Arabidopsis thaliana: one gene and its partners. The protein of the gene in region 4 interacts with the protein of the main gene of each other region in a pairwise test. Each region holds a gene or a part of one and is shown on either strand. Other genes may lie near its edges. The genes, in order: PTAC16, DCP5, AT3G23390 and CSP3.

Region 1 (4,859 bases), on a different chromosome or scaffold from region 4:
TGCGCAATTGAATTGCCGTCAAGTATTAGTGTCGCTCGACACCAGGGGTTGTGTCGATTGACACCTACGTCAATTTTCGTCTCAGGATTGCTTCTACAGCCTAAGTTGTATGTTTTGTTCAAGAATGCTCCATAATCTCCAAATGCATCCCAAACATGTAAAGACTTGAAAAAGACTAGAAAAGACTCTACAAATAACAAAAGAACTCTAAAAACTATACCTAGATCATAGCTAAAAGCAGTGAAAATCGAGGTATATCAGAGATGAAGTTGAGAAAATTATGGAAAGATGAACAGTCTTAGAGCTAAAACACATCATCCACTCATAACCTAAAATAGTGACACATCAATTATTTCTTTAAATTTTAGATTAGGGCAGTTAAAATTTTCCAGTTATCTTACAACTATACACAAACTTGTGAATAATTTTTGACAAAAATCACATAATGTAATATATTTATAGTATATAATCCAATTATGATATTAATTCATTAAAAGTTAATACATACATATATTATTCATTTGCAAAATACTTTAATCTGATTTCATAACAATTCATCATATGAAAGTCAAACTTGACTATTGATGATCATATTTATAAATAAGGGTTTACATGGTGAGTTTTTAAAGAAAAAATCTATACCATGAACCAAACATTAGATTTCTTATTCATCTAATCATTTAAGGATCACAAGATTTGGTGATAGTTAATTTTTGGAATCATTTTAACTTTCGTTGATGATATTTGGCCCACTATTGATGGGTTTATATTAGGATTTATTACGTTGTGAATCTATTTTATATACCGAACTTGAAATTTATATCATCTACAGAAAATCTGCTAGGACGTTGCAAAAATATAAGAGTAGTTTTGATATTTTGAAAATATTGTATTCAAATTAATATTGAAAAACAGCACATTTTAGATCATTTATATTTTAATTAATACGTATATCTAAGATTATATAAGTGTCAACTTTTAATTTTAAGTGTTTTTTCTTTTTATGCATGACGGTCAATCACATCAAATTTTTTAACGAGACACATACATATTTTACATTATTATTGCAAATAACTACTAACCGAATAAAAATCTATTGAATTTTCTGAGATTCTCTCCGGCTTGTTTTTGCTACGATGATACAAAACCACTGCAAATTGCAGCATCTGAGTCTGGTTAGTGCAAAAACCGATAAAAGAAGGTTTTTAGAGGAAGACGAGGAGAAAAAACCAATACAATAGATTTCTCTAACTGAATGTCCCAGTTTTTATTAAACCGTTTCTTCAGATTTCCGATTTAGATTAATCAGCGCGTGTCTTCCGGTTCCTGTTCGAATTGGAAATGTCAGTTTCTTCATTCAGTTGAAAAGTTCATTAGCAAAACACAATTGCTTAGGAATATTTATTTGTATAGAAAAATATAATAAATATAAACAGTCTCAAATTCGATGATTTTCTCTATTAACTTGATCGCTGTTCTCTGATTTAACTGATCCCTCAAAACCGATATCAAATTCTGATTTAACTTTAATTTCATTTTGGATACAAATGATATTACGTGAAAATATTGTAGCAAAGCTGAAAGTATTTTAATATCTGGGCCCGCAGGATCAAGATTCTGTGGCGAAAAGTTCAGACCAAGCCACATCAAGATATGTTAATGACGTGGCATTCTATTATTGGCTATGAATCTGTTCTGGATAACAAAAGCATCATCCGTAAAAAACACAAACAACGAAAGTCTTTTTTGCACTCGCCATGGTGTCTCATCTTCAATGTATGGCATCCACATTGTTTACTTGAGGTACAAGCAAAACGTCTAAGCTCGTCGACCTCCTCTTAATGGCTTCAAGTTCAACTTCATTCCCGTTAACCACCGCGCCACCGCAGGGTGTCAGGTTTAACCGGAGAAAACCGAGGTTAACCGTGTGGGCTAAGCAAACGGCGTTTCAACTCGGGAAAACGAAGGGTGATGATGACTCGGAGGGGAAACAAAAAGGGAAGAACCCGTTCCAGTTTGATTTCGGTAAGTTACCGGACATGAAGTCACTGATACCGGTTGTGACGAATCCTTCTACCGGTTTAGTGTTTGGTAATAACAGAAAGAAAGATCCTGGTACTATTTTTGTGGCTGGTGCTACGGGACAAGCTGGTATACGCATAGCTCAAACGCTCTTACAACGAGGATTCAGTGTTCGAGCCGGTGTTCCTGACCTTGGAGCTGCCCAGGACCTAGCTCGTGTCGCGGCTACTTACAAGGTCCGGTTTTGTTTTTAAGTCCTTTAATTCATAATCTGTCAATTTTCTAAACGCGATAATGTTGATCTTGATATTTGGTCGCAATCGCACTTTGGATTTAAGATTTAGCGATACGCAAACTCGGTTTGGTATTAATAATTGCTTTAACTTCGCATGTAATGTTATGTAAGTACTGTATGTCAGTGTGTCACTCGTAATAATTCACATTAACGTGTGATTACGAATTTGGTGGCGTTTAGAGCTTTGATTTATGGTTTGACGATCAGCTTTTCAACAGATTTTATCAAATGATGAAGTCAAGAGGCTAAACGCAGTTCAATCCCCCTTCCAAGACGCTGAATCAATAGCAAAAGCGATTGGAAACGCAACCAAAGTTGTTGTTACGGTCGGGGCAACAGAGAATGGTCCGGACGCCCAAGTTTCGACCTCAGACGCATTGCTCGTGGTCCAAGCAGCTGAGCTAGCCGGCGTAAGCCACGTGGCGATAGTCTACGACGGCACCATCAGCGGGTCCACATACAACGTGCTCGACGGGATTACTTCGTTTTTCGGCAATCTTTTCGCAAAATCTCAGCCATTGACTATCTCTGACCTCATCGAGAAAGTAGCTCAAACCGACGTGGCCTACACACTCATAAAGACGAGTTTGACGGAGGATTTCTCTCCGGAGAAAGCTTATAACGTCGTCGTTTCAGCTGAAGGGAGTAACAGCGGCAGTGGCAGTAGTTCGTCCGAGGCCTACAAAGTAATGTAATGTATGCGATAAAAAGGGATTATTATCATACATTACATTGAAACGAAATCATTTGGTTATAAATTGGTTTTGATTAATGGTTTTATTAACTTGTTTTGATGTTCTGTTTGTGACCAGGTTCCGAAGTTGAAGATTGCGTCGCTGGTTGCAGACATTTTTGCGAATACGGCCGTGGCAGAAAATAAGGTAGCGTATAGCACAAGTAACTTACCAGTCAAGTTTGTGATTGTTCATCATACAAACGCAGACACTAGGGCAAGAATTATCTCCGTTGAATTAAATTATATCTGTGTTTTCACTCAAAAGCATCGGCTTTGTTTTGTGTGTCCTTTTGCAGGTGGTGGAAGTTTCTACAGATCCATCAGCACCATCGCGGCCAGTGGACGAGCTTTTCAGGTAAATGAGTCCTCTGTTGATTGATTCAAAAGTCATTGGAATAATATAATGATCTTAAAACTAGCGAATTCGGATTTAAACGCGTTCTCGATCGATAGAGTGTTTCTAGCTTAGATAAACGTTTGTGTTAACTTCTTTTAATGAAACATTATCTATGAATTAATGATAGTGTAATCCCGGAAGATGGGAGGAGAAAAGTGTACGCAGATGCGATCGCAAGGGAAAGAGCAGAGGAAGAAGCTAAAGTTGCAGCTGACAAAGCTCGAGAGGCAGCAGAAGCAGCGAAAGAGTTTGAGAAGCAAATGCAAAAGCTCTCTGAGAAAGAAGCAGAAGCTGCAAGCTTAGCTGAGGATGCGCAGCAGAAAGCAGATGCCGTGGGAGTCACAGTGGACGGTTTATTTAACAAGGCGAAAGATATCAGCTCAGGTCTCTCCTGGAATAAACTCGGCTCTCAGTTCGCAACTGCGATTCAGAACGCTTCAGAGACGCCTAAAGTACAGGTTGCTACGGTCAGAGGACAAGCAAAAGCGAGAAACTTGCCACCCAAGAAAGCAGTGGTGAAGCAGAGACCATCATCTCCGTTTGCATCCAAACCGAAAGAAGAACGTCCGAAGAAGCCGGAGAAAGAGGTGAGGAAAGTGTTCGGAGGATTGTTTAAGCAAGAGACCATCTACATCGACGATGATTGAAAAGGCCATATGCGATGTCCTTTTGAAGTTCCGTACAGTTTCCTTTTTTCTCTTTCCTTCTGTTTCAAGTTAAAATTCTGTAATCGTATGACAAAATTATACATAAAAAACCATCATTCTCTCTTTAAATCCCTTGATATAACACAAGTTTTTAATTTGATTCACCTCAATTAAATTCTTAATACAAGTTTGAAGAAGATCACATCCGAATGTATATTTTATTAATCCCTAAAATACATAATCCAAACTAAAACAAAGAAATCAAAAACCGCCTTTGAGATAAAGCATGAAGAGAAAGAAAAAGATGATTACAAGAATCTAAATCCCATCAGCTTGTTCATTGATACCGTGTTGAATTCGTCCAGCGTTGTTGTTTAAGAACATCATAGCCATTAGGGCTAAGATTATGAAGAAAATCGTTCCAGTTCCTAATCCTATGCCGCTTGGTCTGGTAGCAATCTTCTTCGAAACATTATTGTTCCGGCTGCTACAATAGCTTATCAAAACCCAAACAAATGCAGAATACGCCAGAATTAAGATCGCAGCCGTTGGCATCTTTAATATCTCTTTCTTGTGTTCGTGTGCAGAAACTGACTACTCTTGTGTTTTCTTTCTTGTGTTTGTGTTTTTAGACTCTTGTGTTTTCTTTTATATTGCATGTTTAAACTAATTAATGTCAATTCGTTTGTTTCCATTTTTTTTCTTTCCAAAAAAAAAGAAGACAATTTCTTTTTCGAATTTGAGGGCACAATGAAAGTGAGA
Region 2 (5,988 bases), on a different chromosome or scaffold from region 4:
AAGCCAATCACCATCAGCAGAGGATGAAGAGTCTACAAGGGTATAAAAACTTTATTAGAGAGAGAAAGAGAGAGAGAGAGAGAGATCCAATTTGATATCAACGAGGAAGGGAGTGTGATAGTTACAGAGTAGCTGAGTCCTAGATTAGGCAGGAAGAGAGCCCAGTACAGAACCGAAACTGCGACTACTAAACCGGACAGTCTCGCAAACAAGACCAATGATAGTCTTGAAGGATCTACACTTCCCATTTCTGTTTTCTCTCTTCAAAAGTTGAGTAAGTAGTGCTACTGTAGAGTACAGTGACTACAGTCTCTCAGACACTAGAGTTGCCGACAAAATGATAATTTGAGAAATAGAGAGGACATTTTATGGATCTTGTATAAAGAAGACCTCTCTATCTCTTAATAAGGCCCATTTGATTCAAGGCTGCTGGTACTGTATTGAAAGTCAAAATGTTTGACTTTTGAAATTTAGACAAGAAGCTACCAACAGTAAACAGCAACAAGCTATTGAGAGTAAATAGAAAATGCATTTCACACCAAATGTCGAGTATACAAAAGTTCAAAATAACATTGGATATAAGAAGAACGACGCTATTACCAAGTCTTAAAAACAAAGATCAGAAATCAAATTAATACACTCCAAAACCACACAAGTGGGGTTTTATAACAGAAAACATTACACGGGACTCGGTTTTTGTTTTATTGCCACATACCAAAAGCACTCAAGAGCTGAGCTCCCATTGGATTTTGAGTCTTTAGAGCCCTTTCTAGCAGAACAGTTTAGGTAGTACGATTTGATACGCCTCTCCCCTGGCCACGTCCACCATACCCGTAGCCACCGCCGCCGCCGCCACGGCCACCATAACCGCCATAACCACGCCCTCCATAACCACCACGTGAGTAACCGTTGTTTCGTCCATAACCACCACGCCCTCCTCGACCTCCTCGGAATCTCGAGAATTCACCAAATGTCTGAAATCATAGCAATACGTTCTGTTAGTCAATGGGATTCTCTTACGATTCTGGGAATTCGAGTATCTCCAGCAACGAGGGGGGACAAACTCTGTCCAGTCTGCTTGCTATTCAGAGTGTGGAAATATATAGATTGTACCTCAGTATCTAGTTTCCGTTGCTCTGAGAACCTAGGCCTTGAATTTTGGGACTCTCGGTCAATGGTGTTTGATGATAGGCTATCGAAAAAGTCATCTTTGTTGTAAACAGGCTACATCAATAAACAATGTGGATGAGACCAGAGAGGGAGAATATGGTGGCTTTACTTGATTATAAGTCTACTTCACTTACTTTGGCCTCGATCTTAGGAAGCTCAGCCTCATCTACAGTCGGGGAATCATCATCTTCATCACCATCTAAGGTAGTACTCTTCCCAAGATGACCCCATACTTCATCCTTATTGAACTTTTCGTTCATTGCTGTGAAATCAAAATCTTCAGTGAATTTCATTACTTGGTGTGATCTCTGCCAACAAGAAGAATTATTAGCATACATGGCTAAAGTTCATGAGCTATTTTAAACTGGTAGATCTTTTCCTTGGTAAAAACAAATAAATGCCGTCACATTCTACAAATGAGTGAGAAGAATAGTACCCCTGCTCCTCTTCCTCGTCCTCTTCCACGTCCCCTGTAACCATTATGATTTGGGAAAGAATGCCCGTTTGGCTGAGAAAAAAAATCAGCAATTGAGTTTAAATAATTTCACCATGAAGACTTATAAGTAGACATGCAAAGAAACCATCTTATACACCAAAGAACCCTGAGAGATTTTCATGCATCTTCAACAAAGCAAAAGAGACACAGCATGGAATATTAAAATGGGAATTACCACAGGTGCAGTTATAACAGTTACACCTTATTCCAGCTAACTAAGACACCAGCAAATTCAAGGTTCTTTATGATATTAATAAGAGACATTGAAGGATTTGGCATGTTATGTAAGTTAAAAACCTTCTGAGTTGGTCTTGCAGAGGAAGGCAATGGCAGTATTGGAGGTTGGGCTTCGGATGTAACTGGAACAGATTGTTCCAACCCAGCTGATGACGATACTTGAACCACCTCAACATCTTTATCAGCATTTGTCGAGGGTGGGGACAAAGAGACTGCAGAAGATCCAGACTGCAGCAGTTGACCAGGAGTAACCAACAAAGGTTTTGGCTTATCTTGGCTAATGGAACTAGAAACTCCCGCAACAGGAGCAGATGTTAATGGTGTTGTCTGCGGCGGAGAAATTGGACCAGTTACTACACTAGGCTTGTTAGACAGTGGAAGGCCAGTACTTGCTTCTGTGGCTCTCGTAGTAGATAGAGAAAACGAAAGCAAATTAGTATCCTGAGGTAGGGTAGGAGGAGCAGTAATAGGAGCTTTGTTTGACAGCAACGGAGGTGCCATCTCTGAAGCTAGTGAAGGAGATGGTGCTGATTGCAGTGTAGACTGCAGGCTAGACGAGAGCGTCACAGGTGGTAGACCAGGGAAAGGCAATGAACTAGGAGCTAACATTTGAGAACTGGTACTAAAAGGAAACAATGAAGAGGGTGCTTCTGGCAAGCTTGACCCCTGCAAAGATGATGACCCAGTAGGTGGAGGAGGGGTATTAAAGTTAGGATATTGCAGGGGTTGCTGAAGAGAGTTGGGCATTGGCAGCCCATGAGGGGGTCGAATCAGAGACTGCTGATGCAATTGGGGAAGGCCATTGGGAGGTGGGGTGTAGAAACCTTGCCAATACATTGGTGGTTGTGGTGACGCTCCCCATGAACCAAGATTTCCACCAGGCTGATACAAAGGCATTGCGTTTTGAAATCCCATTCCATGTTGTCCAGGTTGTCCATTATGAGAACTAATGTCAGGTAGTGACCCGCTCGCAGTAGAAGGCAAGCTACCAGATGTTGGCATCGGGCTAGGGTAGTGAGACTGCAAAACCAAGACAAGTGGAGGATGGGGTTACATCAATTGACTCCAAAATCCCAGACAATGTAATCTTACAACTTTTCTAACATTCACCTGAATTATAGCAGGGTCATTATTTATAGTAGATGCAGGAGGCTGAACTGGTGGAGAAGCTTTGACTTGCAAATCCTACCAACAACAAGAACAATCAGAGTACAAAATCGGCAGGCTACTTACATAGAAGTATTAGCATAATCCTGCTGAATACCTTGATATCAGTTCCACGGAACAATATGTACTCGTAAACTTTGTCACTTGGAGGAACTTGTGGACCATCTTTTTTCCTTCCTTCAGTTCCAAATGATCGAACTACACACAACAAAAGTTCAGGGATCAGAACCAAAATCTACCTCATCGACCACTTAAACACTGATCTTTTATGCTCAACCAATAGTTTCAAGACATCAATTACAATTTGAGAACTCAAGTAATAGACATGAGCACTAAAACAACATTCCTTTCAAATCGAGCTAAACAGTTCAGATTGGAGAAAACTTTCTTAACGATTAACGGAAGAAACCATTAGTTTCTACCAAATCCGAGAGAAAACACCACCAAAATTAACACTTAACAAATCTGGTAATCCCGAAACGGAAGTGGAAACGGATCGTACCGTTTTGAAGTCCGATACTGGATTCATCTGTATTAATATTGTAAAGGATCCCTTCGTATCTGATCTCACTCTTAGATGTCAAACTAATCAAGCTCCCAACGTAAGAATCCGCAGCGGAGCTCGATTTCGAACCCGTATTATCAGCCGCCATATCCGATCTATGTCTCTCTTCGCCGACGAAATCACAGCCAAAGAGAGAAAAAACTAAAAGACAAGAGAAGGCAAACACACACACACACACTTCGAGTTCCTTGATCTCCTTCTTCTTCTTCTTCTTCGCGAGAGAGAGAGAGAGAGAGAGAGAGAAAGCTACAGATACACAATTAGGGTTTACTCTAATTTGGGGAGATCGAGCATCTCTTTTTTATTATCCATTCCCATAAAAGCCCAATTCAGAAAATAATATCAATCTGACCATTATAGCCTAGTATGGCTCCATTGACTTCTCTCTAATCACTAACCGAAGTATGCCTCGTGTACACGCGAAGGGTTTATTTCGTAATTCACCGCCAATGGTGTGTTTAGGCGAGTAGCTACGAGCCTACTCGAGCCATTCCAATCCCACGGCTCGTGTTCTGATTGCTTACTCTGGTTAGAGTTTATTATTTTATTTTGGTAGGATGGTTAGAGCTTATTATTTACATATTAATCCTAGTATCAAATCTAGTGTTATTCATAAATTAAAAGGCCTTTTAAAAAATGAATTTTGAGAAATATTTTTGGTGATTTCACCTACATTTTTAGTTGAAAATTGGGGTTAAGAAAATCACACCTTTTTTTGTCAAGAAAATCACACCTTTTTTTCTCAAGAAAATCACACCTTTGGAGAGTTTTAATTATTAAAAAAAAAATCAGACCTACATTTCTTCCTTGTTAAATGACACTGGTTCGGCACTTTGTATATAGGTAGAGAAGTCAACTGATGCCAAGAAAATAGTGCAACCAATGATTAATGATCAGAGAAGAAGAAGACCAAAGACAGTTTAATTAAGGTGACAAAGTCAATGAAGCCTTGTTTCTTTAATGCACTTTCAGTGTTCTACAAAAACACAAACAGGCAATGACGAAATAATCAGTGTATTTGCAAACCGGGATACAATATCATCATCATCAAAGTTCAAAATCATCTGTATCGTCAAAGTATAGTGGGATCTGTTTTCCTTGTTAAGTAATATGCACATTGACCCGTCTGTATCACTGGAAGAAGGAATGTACTTCCTTTGATCTTCTGGGAGATAAGAGTGTAGGAGTTAGAACGGACTGACCCAGTGAGCCAACTTCAACATGAATTCAGGTACAAGACGCCTTCTATCTACGCTTTTACCAATCGCTTCTTGATCGTCTCCCAGAACCACTGTTACTATATCTTCAAACATCTCATCTATTCCACCTCTCATTGGATCCTAACATAGATAACCAAGTTTCTAGATCAAAATTCAGGTTCTTGTCCGACAAGACATTCATACCTCAAAAAGACCGGCCATTTTACCTGAAGAAACAAATCCGTGTGTGTTTTCCCCTCGTAAAGGATCACTTTTGCTTTGGCCCCAAGCCTCTGGAGGGTTTCCGCAAAAGATTTACTGCAAAGATAGTGTAATAGAAGTTCAATCATCATCTTAACTTTCTGATATACATAAGACAGACAAATACACACAAAAGTTAAACCATACCTTGCATCTGACGGGATGGAGTAGTCATCAGTACCATGGAATAAAATAAAAGGTGGGAGACGAGCAATGATGTGTTTGAGATTCGGGTTTTGCACTACTAATTCAGGAGAGAACTGCCTTAATGATTCCTCTCCTTCCATGATGCTGAGGAAAATCAAACGTCACACGTTAAACTGTAAAAATTTCAGGCTGCTCTACTGGCCAGGTGAGTAACGTAAGCTATACCAAGATTCCAAAAGAGAAAATGCTATACCTCAGAAAGATGGAACGGTACAGCCCCCTGCTATGGAAGTGGTCCACAAGGTTCAAAAGGTTGTATCTGTAGATCACGATCACAAAGTTTGTTAAGAATAGCCAAGCAGATGATGTGAGGCCTCATCAAAAAATTTGTTGCTTTAGTTGGGTAGAAGGCAGGAATCTACTTGCTACTTTGAGCTAATATTTGACCATTACTTCACCGTTCTACGAATTGCCTAGCATTTCTACAAAAGACCTTGGTGGCTAGATAAAAACTGGAGTTAACACATATATAAATACTCAGGCAATTAAAGAAACTTGTTTTTCTCAACTTCTTGACAGAAAAATTTACATTCCAATGTATCGTCTTATCCTTATAACTGGGAAGACCAAAATAACAAGTTATTAATCTAGTCATTTGAACTCTGAGACCAAAAGAAAGGATTTTGCTTACCCTCCAGATAGACCAAAATAAGCATTTATTTGTGAACTACTCCAAGAGACACTGT
Region 3 (3,650 bases), on a different chromosome or scaffold from region 4:
AGAAATTGCATTGAAACCACCAAATAAGGGAAAATCTTCTGGCTATCCTTTGACTTCCAACTTCTACATCCAATAATCATCCGCCACGTAGCTTTTATGCATATGTAAAAAAGAAATAGGCAAGAAAAAAAGAGAGCCTTTGTGATCGAACAAAGAGGACAACATTTGAGATTTCTTTCTTCTTACGTTACCTCTCTCTTAAACAAAACAAGAAACAAGATAACAACACAAATAAGTTTGAGAAAAAAACTTTTTGATTTGAAGATAGTAACATTTTGTGTAGTTTTCTTAACCAGGTATCATTTTCTTCTTCTCCAAACAGAAATAGATGTGTGTGTTTTTTATCTTATCGTTTGTTTATATATTCCTCTCAAATTTGCAGAAACTCATAGCTCTTGGACATCTATATGAATCTATTTCTTTGTTAAATAGGGTTTTATCTACTCCACAAACATGTAAGTTCTTTTTTATTTTTCTTAAGATTCTTATCGCAATAGGATTCACGCAAAAACAATTTAATTCTTTGGCCAATCTATGCATTACCGAAAGTTGTATCCCTAAGAGAAGAAGAATCTCAAAGAAAAAATATTAATTTATGAAAAAATGTTTATTTTTTTTCCTTGGTGTGCAAGCTAGGTATGCATCTGCAAGTTGAATATGACCTCACCTATGAAGGGTCTATTAAAAGGTTTGAGGTACATTGCTCGTATCTTCGGTGAGTTTATTTGTTCTCGAAACAAAGATCATATATGTCTATACAATTACCAAAAATCAGATTCTTAAATCTTATAAAAAAAAATTGTTGTAGAGGATGAGAAGGAACCAGAGATGCAGATTGGAATACCAACCGATGTCAAACATGTTGCTCATATAGGATGGGAAGGGCCCTCAGCTACCACCCCAAGCTGGGTATATCCTTCTCTCAATATTTTTATAACATATTCTACATATCTTTTGTTTGTGGATTAGGTCAAATATTTTCATGGGAATATGCAGATGCATGATTTCAAGCCTACCGATCAAACGAAGACTGAGACGAAAGGAACATCTAACAAAAAACCTGGGAGTTCCGGGGAGAAACATAGGAAGGGAAGACGTAAAACATCAACAGGAAACAACTCACCTACAGAATCTCCATCAAGGGTAGGAGGATCAGTAAGGCCATCAAAACGCAACACGGGGAAACAAAGAGAGCAGAACACGGGTTCAGGGTCAGAGTCAGGTTCAGGATTAGAGTTACCTCAACAGACTGATCAGTTTGTTGTACCAAAACAATCAAAGCAAAAAAAGTCAAAAGGATCAGCAACAGGAGGAGGCGAACCTCCTCCATCTAATGAACCATCAAACAAGAAAGAAACAGATATATCTGTGAGAGCGGTTTACCCTTGTGCGGGTCTTGGAAGTTCTACAGGAAGATGAAAGATGAGGAACAAAGAAAGAGAGTGTTATATTTTCAAGATTAGACTAGAGTGTGGTGGTGGTGGTGGTATTGTTTCTTCTCATGATTGATCTACACACTTTAGTCTTTTCTCTCCCTTTTGTTGGAAATGCCTTTGCATTACAAGACCAATGTTTTATATCGCGTCGAGAAAAGAGAACCCTTTGATGATTGTGAACCAGGGATGTGAAATATATGCTTGCTTAACACTCTTAAATTATTCTCAAGGAATCTTTCGATTGTGTTCTTAGGATTCAATTAGTAATAGACTTGAGTGTGTTTGACATATCTATTGGGCTTCGATTGTTTGTTGCGTTTACATGTTATAATAGGTTTTTATTTCTTGGTTCAAACGAAACCAAAACTTAAAAGTAAATCATTTTTTTCTACTGAATTTTGTTTTTGATGCTTTTGATTTCATTTGATCACTTCAACTTTAGTTCCAGGGTCTTGACGATTTAATTCAAAAAGCAAAAAAATCAATAGGAAACAAAAACTCATAAAGGACTTTGACATACAGATGGGCCCATTGTTTATGACCAATCCTTATACTATATATGGGCCTTATTAGTTAAACCTAAGGCCCAAAGTCAGATTAGGGTTTTCAGAAAGTGTACTATAAATTCTTCTTCTTTAAACAACTTCGTCTAGTGGAACGACGACGGCACAAAAGCTTCACCGGAGATCAGAGACGCGAAAATGGTAAATTGTTTCTTCTCTTTCGATGTGATTTTGGAATTTGTAAAGTTCGTTGACTTTGAAGAACAACAATACATGGTTGATTGATTTATTGTATTGTTTTTCAGATCTATCATAAAAGTTTTCAATCTAAATGATGTTTGTATTTTGATTAACCTTAAAAGTCTCTTGATTTTGTATGTGTGTGAGTGATTCATTTTTGATTTTATGAATTTTGAAGGTGAACATTCCAAAGACAAAGAACACTTACTGTAAGAACAAGGAATGCAAAAAGCATACTTTGCACAAGGTTACCCAATACAAGAAGGGTAAAGACAGTCTTGCTGCTCAAGGAAAGCGTCGTTATGACCGTAAACAATCTGGTTATGGTGGTCAGACTAAGCCTGTCTTCCACAAAAAGGTAACATTGATTATCATGCATTGATTGTTTTTTCAGTTTGAATTAGGTCTAGTTAGTTGAAATGAGGTAGTTTTAAGGAACCATTTATAGTAGAATTTTGGAAGTGAGCTGTGAGGAAACAGACATTCCAATAGTCTCAGTTTTGGACTGAGATACATCTTGTGAATCTTGTTAACAGGCTAAGACCACGAAGAAGATTGTTTTGAGGCTTCAGTGTCAAAGCTGCAAGCACTTTTCGCAGCGTCCTATCAAGGTGCATAGAACATAGATCAGTTCATTATACCGGATTTGTAACTTGGTAATTTGCTTACATTGTGTTGGTTTGTTGTTTATTTCAGAGGTGCAAGCATTTCGAGATCGGTGGTGACAAGAAGGGAAAGGGAACATCTCTGTTTTAAGTTGGTTTCATCTTATTTTCTGCGATTTTTGTACTTGCTGGATTTGGAATCCATTTGTTTTAGCTCTCTCGTATAAGATTGTCTCATCTTTGCTTGTTAACTCTATATTTTGAATCATCAAGATATGGTTTTGCTGTTAATCATTGACCTTCGATATTTTTTTGCCAATCCGTTCTCTCTACCAACCTAAGAAAAAATCACTAATATCTCACATTAGAGGGTGCAAAATTTGGAAGGTCTATATCATTGTCCAATTTTCTGAGTCATACAAATTCTTTCATATGATTCATTGAACAAGACACTCATTTACTTATAAAGCGCATTTATATGTTCACATGATTTGTACAAAACTCATGAGACTGCATCAAGCAGAAAGTATTTATTTATCTTTACATGTCAAAGCTTTGAGAATTAAGCAATGACGAATACCCTAAGTTCACCTCTGTCCCCGCGAGTTATGCGCATGGTATCATCAACATAGGTAACTTCGAAATCCCCAGTTCCAGGGTTTGACGATGGTCTGAAACTGTCGGGAAGCCTCGGGATATCAAACGGAGGAATCTGCGACAAGTTTCCCGATGTCTTCACAGTTGTTTTCTCAAATGTTATCTTGATCTTGCAAGTGCCTGTTTTCCCCATAAATGTCAAAGATACAGATAAGTTATTTTGCTCTTACACAATTCGATAAACTTAATGAGAGAAAGGGAAATGCAAA
Region 4 (4,125 bases):
ATTGTTACCGTTTGATGTTGTATGATTCAGGAGAAGTTAGGGATCGTGTTTATATAAGAGAATCGGGGATTTGTGTTATGGAAAGTTTCATAATATCAATTTTCCCTATATGAGTTTTGCCATTACAGAATCCGATACATGTTCACTCATCATTTCCTTTATTTCAATATTCTCATTAATACTTGTGAAATGGAAATTACGAATCAAGCTAGTATACTTGTTATCCTTTTCGAAAATTATACATTTTTTTTTTATAACTATTTGTTGAGGATCTCTTCCTAAATTCAAAACTAGAAATTTAGATAAAGGTTAGAGGAGGAAAAAGCTCTCTTTTGTTTGTTAAGGAAAAAGTTATTTAGTTTAAAGACTTTGATAGGAAAGAGACATGTATGGTGTTGTGTAGTAAGTTAATTGTACTGGAATTGGTGGGATTTTGTATTAACGGAAATAAAGGAGGTGTTGGACATTAGAAGCTTGTCTTTGTATATGTTAAGAAAGATCAAGTCACTTCCAATAACAGAACACGTGGGATCCAAATGTTTATATCCGAAAGATTCAGCTAATCACAAGTGTAATTAGGTTAAAAAAAACTAACGGGATTAACTTCATCATCTTCTTAAAACATCACGGTAAGTAGAGAAAAAGAAACCACGAACTGACGAACAGGCATAGGCACTACAAGATCACGCACACCATGTCTCTCCTCTGTTCAGGAGATTCTCCTAAAACAAGATCTAAGTAATCTAAAATATCAAAAGATTATTCTTAAGCTAATATCTCTGTTTCATCAAGAACAAGAAAAACAGCAATGCAGAGTATAAGTAAACCAGTTACAGGAAAATCTTTAAGCTCTCCAACAAAGAGGAACCAAGAAAGACTTGTGACTCATCTCTTTGTATTTACAAGTTAGTAAAAAAAAGTCTCAAATCTTGGTATATAACAGAAGTGACCATAACAGATTGAATTTTCAAGTCATACAATCACACTCATTGCAAGGAAAGACAAGAAACTGTAAATAAGCAAGCACACATATCATTCAAGATCTCAAACTTATGGCATCAACAAAAGCAGTGAACAGGTTGCATAAACCAGTCAAAAGAGTAATATAGAGAGATCAAAAACTCCCAAAACAACCATTCTTAAACATCCTAAACGACTTTAGCAATCACATTATAGTCACCAAAAAGGAGCATTAGGTAGATTTTAATAGAAAACAAAAGAGGTTTATGAACATTACTCTTCTTCTTTGCATCTTTTTGTTAAGCAACCGAAGTACATTCCCTCGCAAAGTGACCTTCCTTGCCGCAGATGAAGCACTTGTTACTGCCACCGCCACCTCCGCTGCTTCCACTTCCTCTCCGATCACAGTCACGAGCCAAATGGCCAGTTCCTCCACATTCGTAACAAGCACGACCACCACCACCACCACCAGAAGGTATCTTGCTGGTGCAAACTTTCGCAATGTGGCCAACTCCGCCACAGGTATAACAAGTGCTTCCACCACCTCCAACGTTTCCACCGCCGTTTTGCCTACAATCCCTAGCGAAATGTCCCACACCACCACACATGTAGCATCCATCACCGCCAGATCCACGACCACCACCTCCTCCGTATCTGTTTCCACCAGAACCACCACGACAATCCTTTGCCAAATGACCAACCTCACCGCAACTGTAACACGGACGACCACCTCCTCCTCCTCCGCCGCTGTTTCCACCACCGCTTTGCCTACAATCCCTAGCGAAGTGTCCCACATCACCACACATGTAACATTCACCTTCGCCGCCAGATCTACGACCACCACCACCTCCAAAGCTTTTCCCACCACTTCCACCGTCACAATCCTTAGCCATATGACCAACCTCACCGCAATTAAAACAATTACCTCCGGATCCACGGGAGCTGTTTTCCTTCTTATTAAGTGAACCGCCGCCGGGAGCAGTAACTTCAATGGCCTTAGTCTTTCCGTCGCTTCCAAGCGCGATTTCGTATTCAACCGATTCACCAAGAGTCAAGCTACGGAATCCATCGGAGACAATTGAGGATTGATGAACAAAAAGCTCTTCGCCGCCATCATCGGGAGTAATGAAACCGTAGCCTTTTCCATCGCTAAACCAACTAACTTTTCCGATAGATCTCGCCGCCGATTGATCTTCCATCGCCATTAGATCAGAGAAAAAGGTTAACAAAAACTCGAAGCACTTTGTTCGTACAAAGAGAGGAAATGGGTAAAATGAAAACCCTAAATTGCTACTTGCTAGATCTATTAACCCCAAATTGACCTTAAATTCGCCACGTCAGCTCCTTCTCTATCGGCGGCAGTTACCACGTGTGCATTTTGGATCAGGCCCATGGTTCACATAATGAAATGGGCCTATTTATGTAAGAGTTTCAAAAGAACTAAGCAAAATTGATAAGGTTTGATTTCACACTAACTTTAAAAAAAATGCTTGAGATGTTTTATCATCTCTTAACCATCCCCAAACTCTGGGAATTGGATGAAAATGCAGTCTATAATTATCACTTTTTGCAAAAAGAAAGGGATATTCATAGTAAATCTAAAGTAAATATGACATGATTTAGATTATTATGTTATACTTCTACTAGAAGAGAAAGTGTTTCACACTTTTGGTTGTTTTATCTAAACAATATATTATATTTTGATATTATATCTATTTTTATGCAACTTATTTTGCATCCAAATTTTCAATATCCCAGCTCACTTTTTTAATTCAATGAACCAATACATGGATGATATTATCCGAAGTTCAATTGTGAAGAAAAAAATGATTCGATCATATTTTCTTCTAGAAGCAAGAAAAAAAGAACATCCCAATTACTTAAACTAATTATTGGATATCTATCGTCTATTATATATATATATATATTATATATTTTGATAATGTATGGTGTCGAACATCAACAATCTTCTGCTTCCCATTGTTTATGGACAGCATAGCTTTTGTCATGACAATGCTATACTTAAGAAAATGACAAGAGTTCCTTTTTTTATTTATTTTTCTTTTAATGACAATAGTGAATTTATAATTACTTTTTTTTTGTTCACATTTAAAATAGTTATATATATGTGAAAAGAATATGAGTTTTTTTTTGTAAATATTATGAAAGATTCGTGAGATGCAAATGTTCCAGAACATGGCATGTTGAAACAAGAGTGACACATGGATTATGATGACGAGAAGAAAAGAACCTTGTCTGTCGTATTTGCTTAGCTATTTTGGTGGCCCTGGTGAAGGCAATTTAAATTGACTATAATTATTATCATCATAAACGTCATGTTAGTATAACTCTGAAATTCTGAGCAAGAAATTTGACCCAATGTTAACTCTTTGAAATACCGTTATTTATATAACTTTTACCCAAAAAAATTAGAATCATAAAATTAACCCATGCATGCATACCTAGTTGATTGCACAACGTTCAAACTAAAAATGTTTATAACGCCCATAGAAAAAACTCTCAGTAACCCTCCACATACACATATCACATACATCGGAATTCACGATATGCGATTGTAACGTCTCTAAAAATTACTCTTTTCACAGTCGCGTGACAGGAAAAAATTCACTGCCACCAAGGCAAACAACGTTATCGAACTTTCGATAGACTAAGACCATGAATGGTAACATAGACCACACCCAAAACCGCACCGCAACAGTATTAAAATCTTTACATATATATGTATTTATGTATTTTTGTTACTATTTGACATAGATCTTCTTTTCTTTTATTGTCGATGTCGGCTGATTGTGCGACTAGAAAAAAAACACTCCCAGCTTTTTAAATTAGGTGACTACAACATAATACAACTAAAATTTTCTAAGAATGCTATATGATTTCAGTATGTAAATCTTACCTGTAACAAAAAAAATCTGTTTCTCCAAGGCTACATACTATTGATTGCTAAGTTGGAACACTTTAAGTTATACATAAATTTTTATTTTCTTTATTAGATGGTAAATACTAAATACAGACTACTTACTACTTATGGATACAAAGGCTAAAAACGCGACAGATCCTACGTGGCACGATAAACCGTGTTGATCCTACGTGGCACAACCACCCAGAATCTCTGGGTTTGCTCTAATTACAACCAATTCAATG

Evidence for each region.
Region 1: the proteins of CSP3 (region 4) and PTAC16 interact in a two-hybrid assay, tested with the Arabidopsis thaliana proteins (one study listed by BioGRID).
Region 2: the proteins of CSP3 (region 4) and DCP5 interact in a two-hybrid assay, tested with the Arabidopsis thaliana proteins (one study listed by BioGRID).
Region 3: the proteins of CSP3 (region 4) and AT3G23390 interact in a two-hybrid assay, tested with the Arabidopsis thaliana proteins (one study listed by BioGRID).

The regions. Positions count from the first base shown.
Region 1 is NC_003074.8:17,226,925-17,231,783, forward strand, and holds PTAC16 (plastid transcriptionally active 16), read left to right. Parts: upstream 1-1,717; 5' UTR 1,718-1,841; coding exon 1,842-2,258; intron 2,259-2,535; coding exon 2,536-3,003; intron 3,004-3,129; coding exon 3,130-3,198; intron 3,199-3,349; coding exon 3,350-3,408; intron 3,409-3,577; coding exon 3,578-4,097; 3' UTR 4,098-4,305; downstream 4,306-4,859. UniProt on the Arabidopsis thaliana protein: Probably involved in the regulation of plastid gene expression.
Region 2 is NC_003070.9:9,023,834-9,029,821, forward strand, and holds DCP5 (decapping 5), read right to left. Parts: upstream 4,123-5,988; 5' UTR 3,724-4,122; coding exon 3,573-3,723; intron 3,269-3,572; coding exon 3,168-3,268; intron 3,089-3,167; coding exon 3,014-3,088; intron 2,924-3,013; coding exon 1,964-2,923; intron 1,792-1,963; coding exon of another isoform or gene 1,772-1,791; intron 1,679-1,771; coding exon 1,607-1,678; intron 1,479-1,606; coding exon 1,305-1,478; intron 1,225-1,304; coding exon 1,114-1,224; intron 975-1,113; coding exon 783-974; 3' UTR 508-782; downstream 1-507. Other genes in the region: AT1G26100 (Cytochrome b561/ferric reductase transmembrane protein family), read right to left, coding at 1-32, 126-248; ICME-LIKE1 (alpha/beta-Hydrolases superfamily protein), read right to left, coding at 4,823-4,975, 5,062-5,152, 5,243-5,386, 5,496-5,561, 5,934-5,988. UniProt on the Arabidopsis thaliana protein: As a component of the decapping complex, involved in the degradation of mRNAs. Promotes P-body formation. Translational repressor.
Region 3 is NC_003074.8:8,373,290-8,376,939, forward strand, and holds AT3G23390 (Zinc-binding ribosomal protein family protein), read left to right. Parts: upstream 1-2,043; 5' UTR 2,044-2,137; coding exon 2,138-2,140; intron 2,141-2,357; coding exon 2,358-2,537; intron 2,538-2,715; coding exon 2,716-2,790; intron 2,791-2,875; coding exon 2,876-2,935; 3' UTR 2,936-3,147; downstream 3,148-3,650. Other genes in the region: RIC5 (ROP-interactive CRIB motif-containing protein 5), read left to right, coding at 658-715, 809-909, 997-1,419; FIB4 (Plastid-lipid associated protein PAP / fibrillin family protein), read right to left, coding at 3,347-3,561.
Region 4 is NC_003071.7:7,763,017-7,767,141, forward strand, and holds CSP3 (cold shock domain protein 3), read right to left. Parts: upstream 2,261-4,125; 5' UTR 2,166-2,260; coding exon 1,260-2,165; 3' UTR 512-1,259; downstream 1-511. Other genes in the region: AT2G17860 (Pathogenesis-related thaumatin superfamily protein), read right to left, coding at 1-2.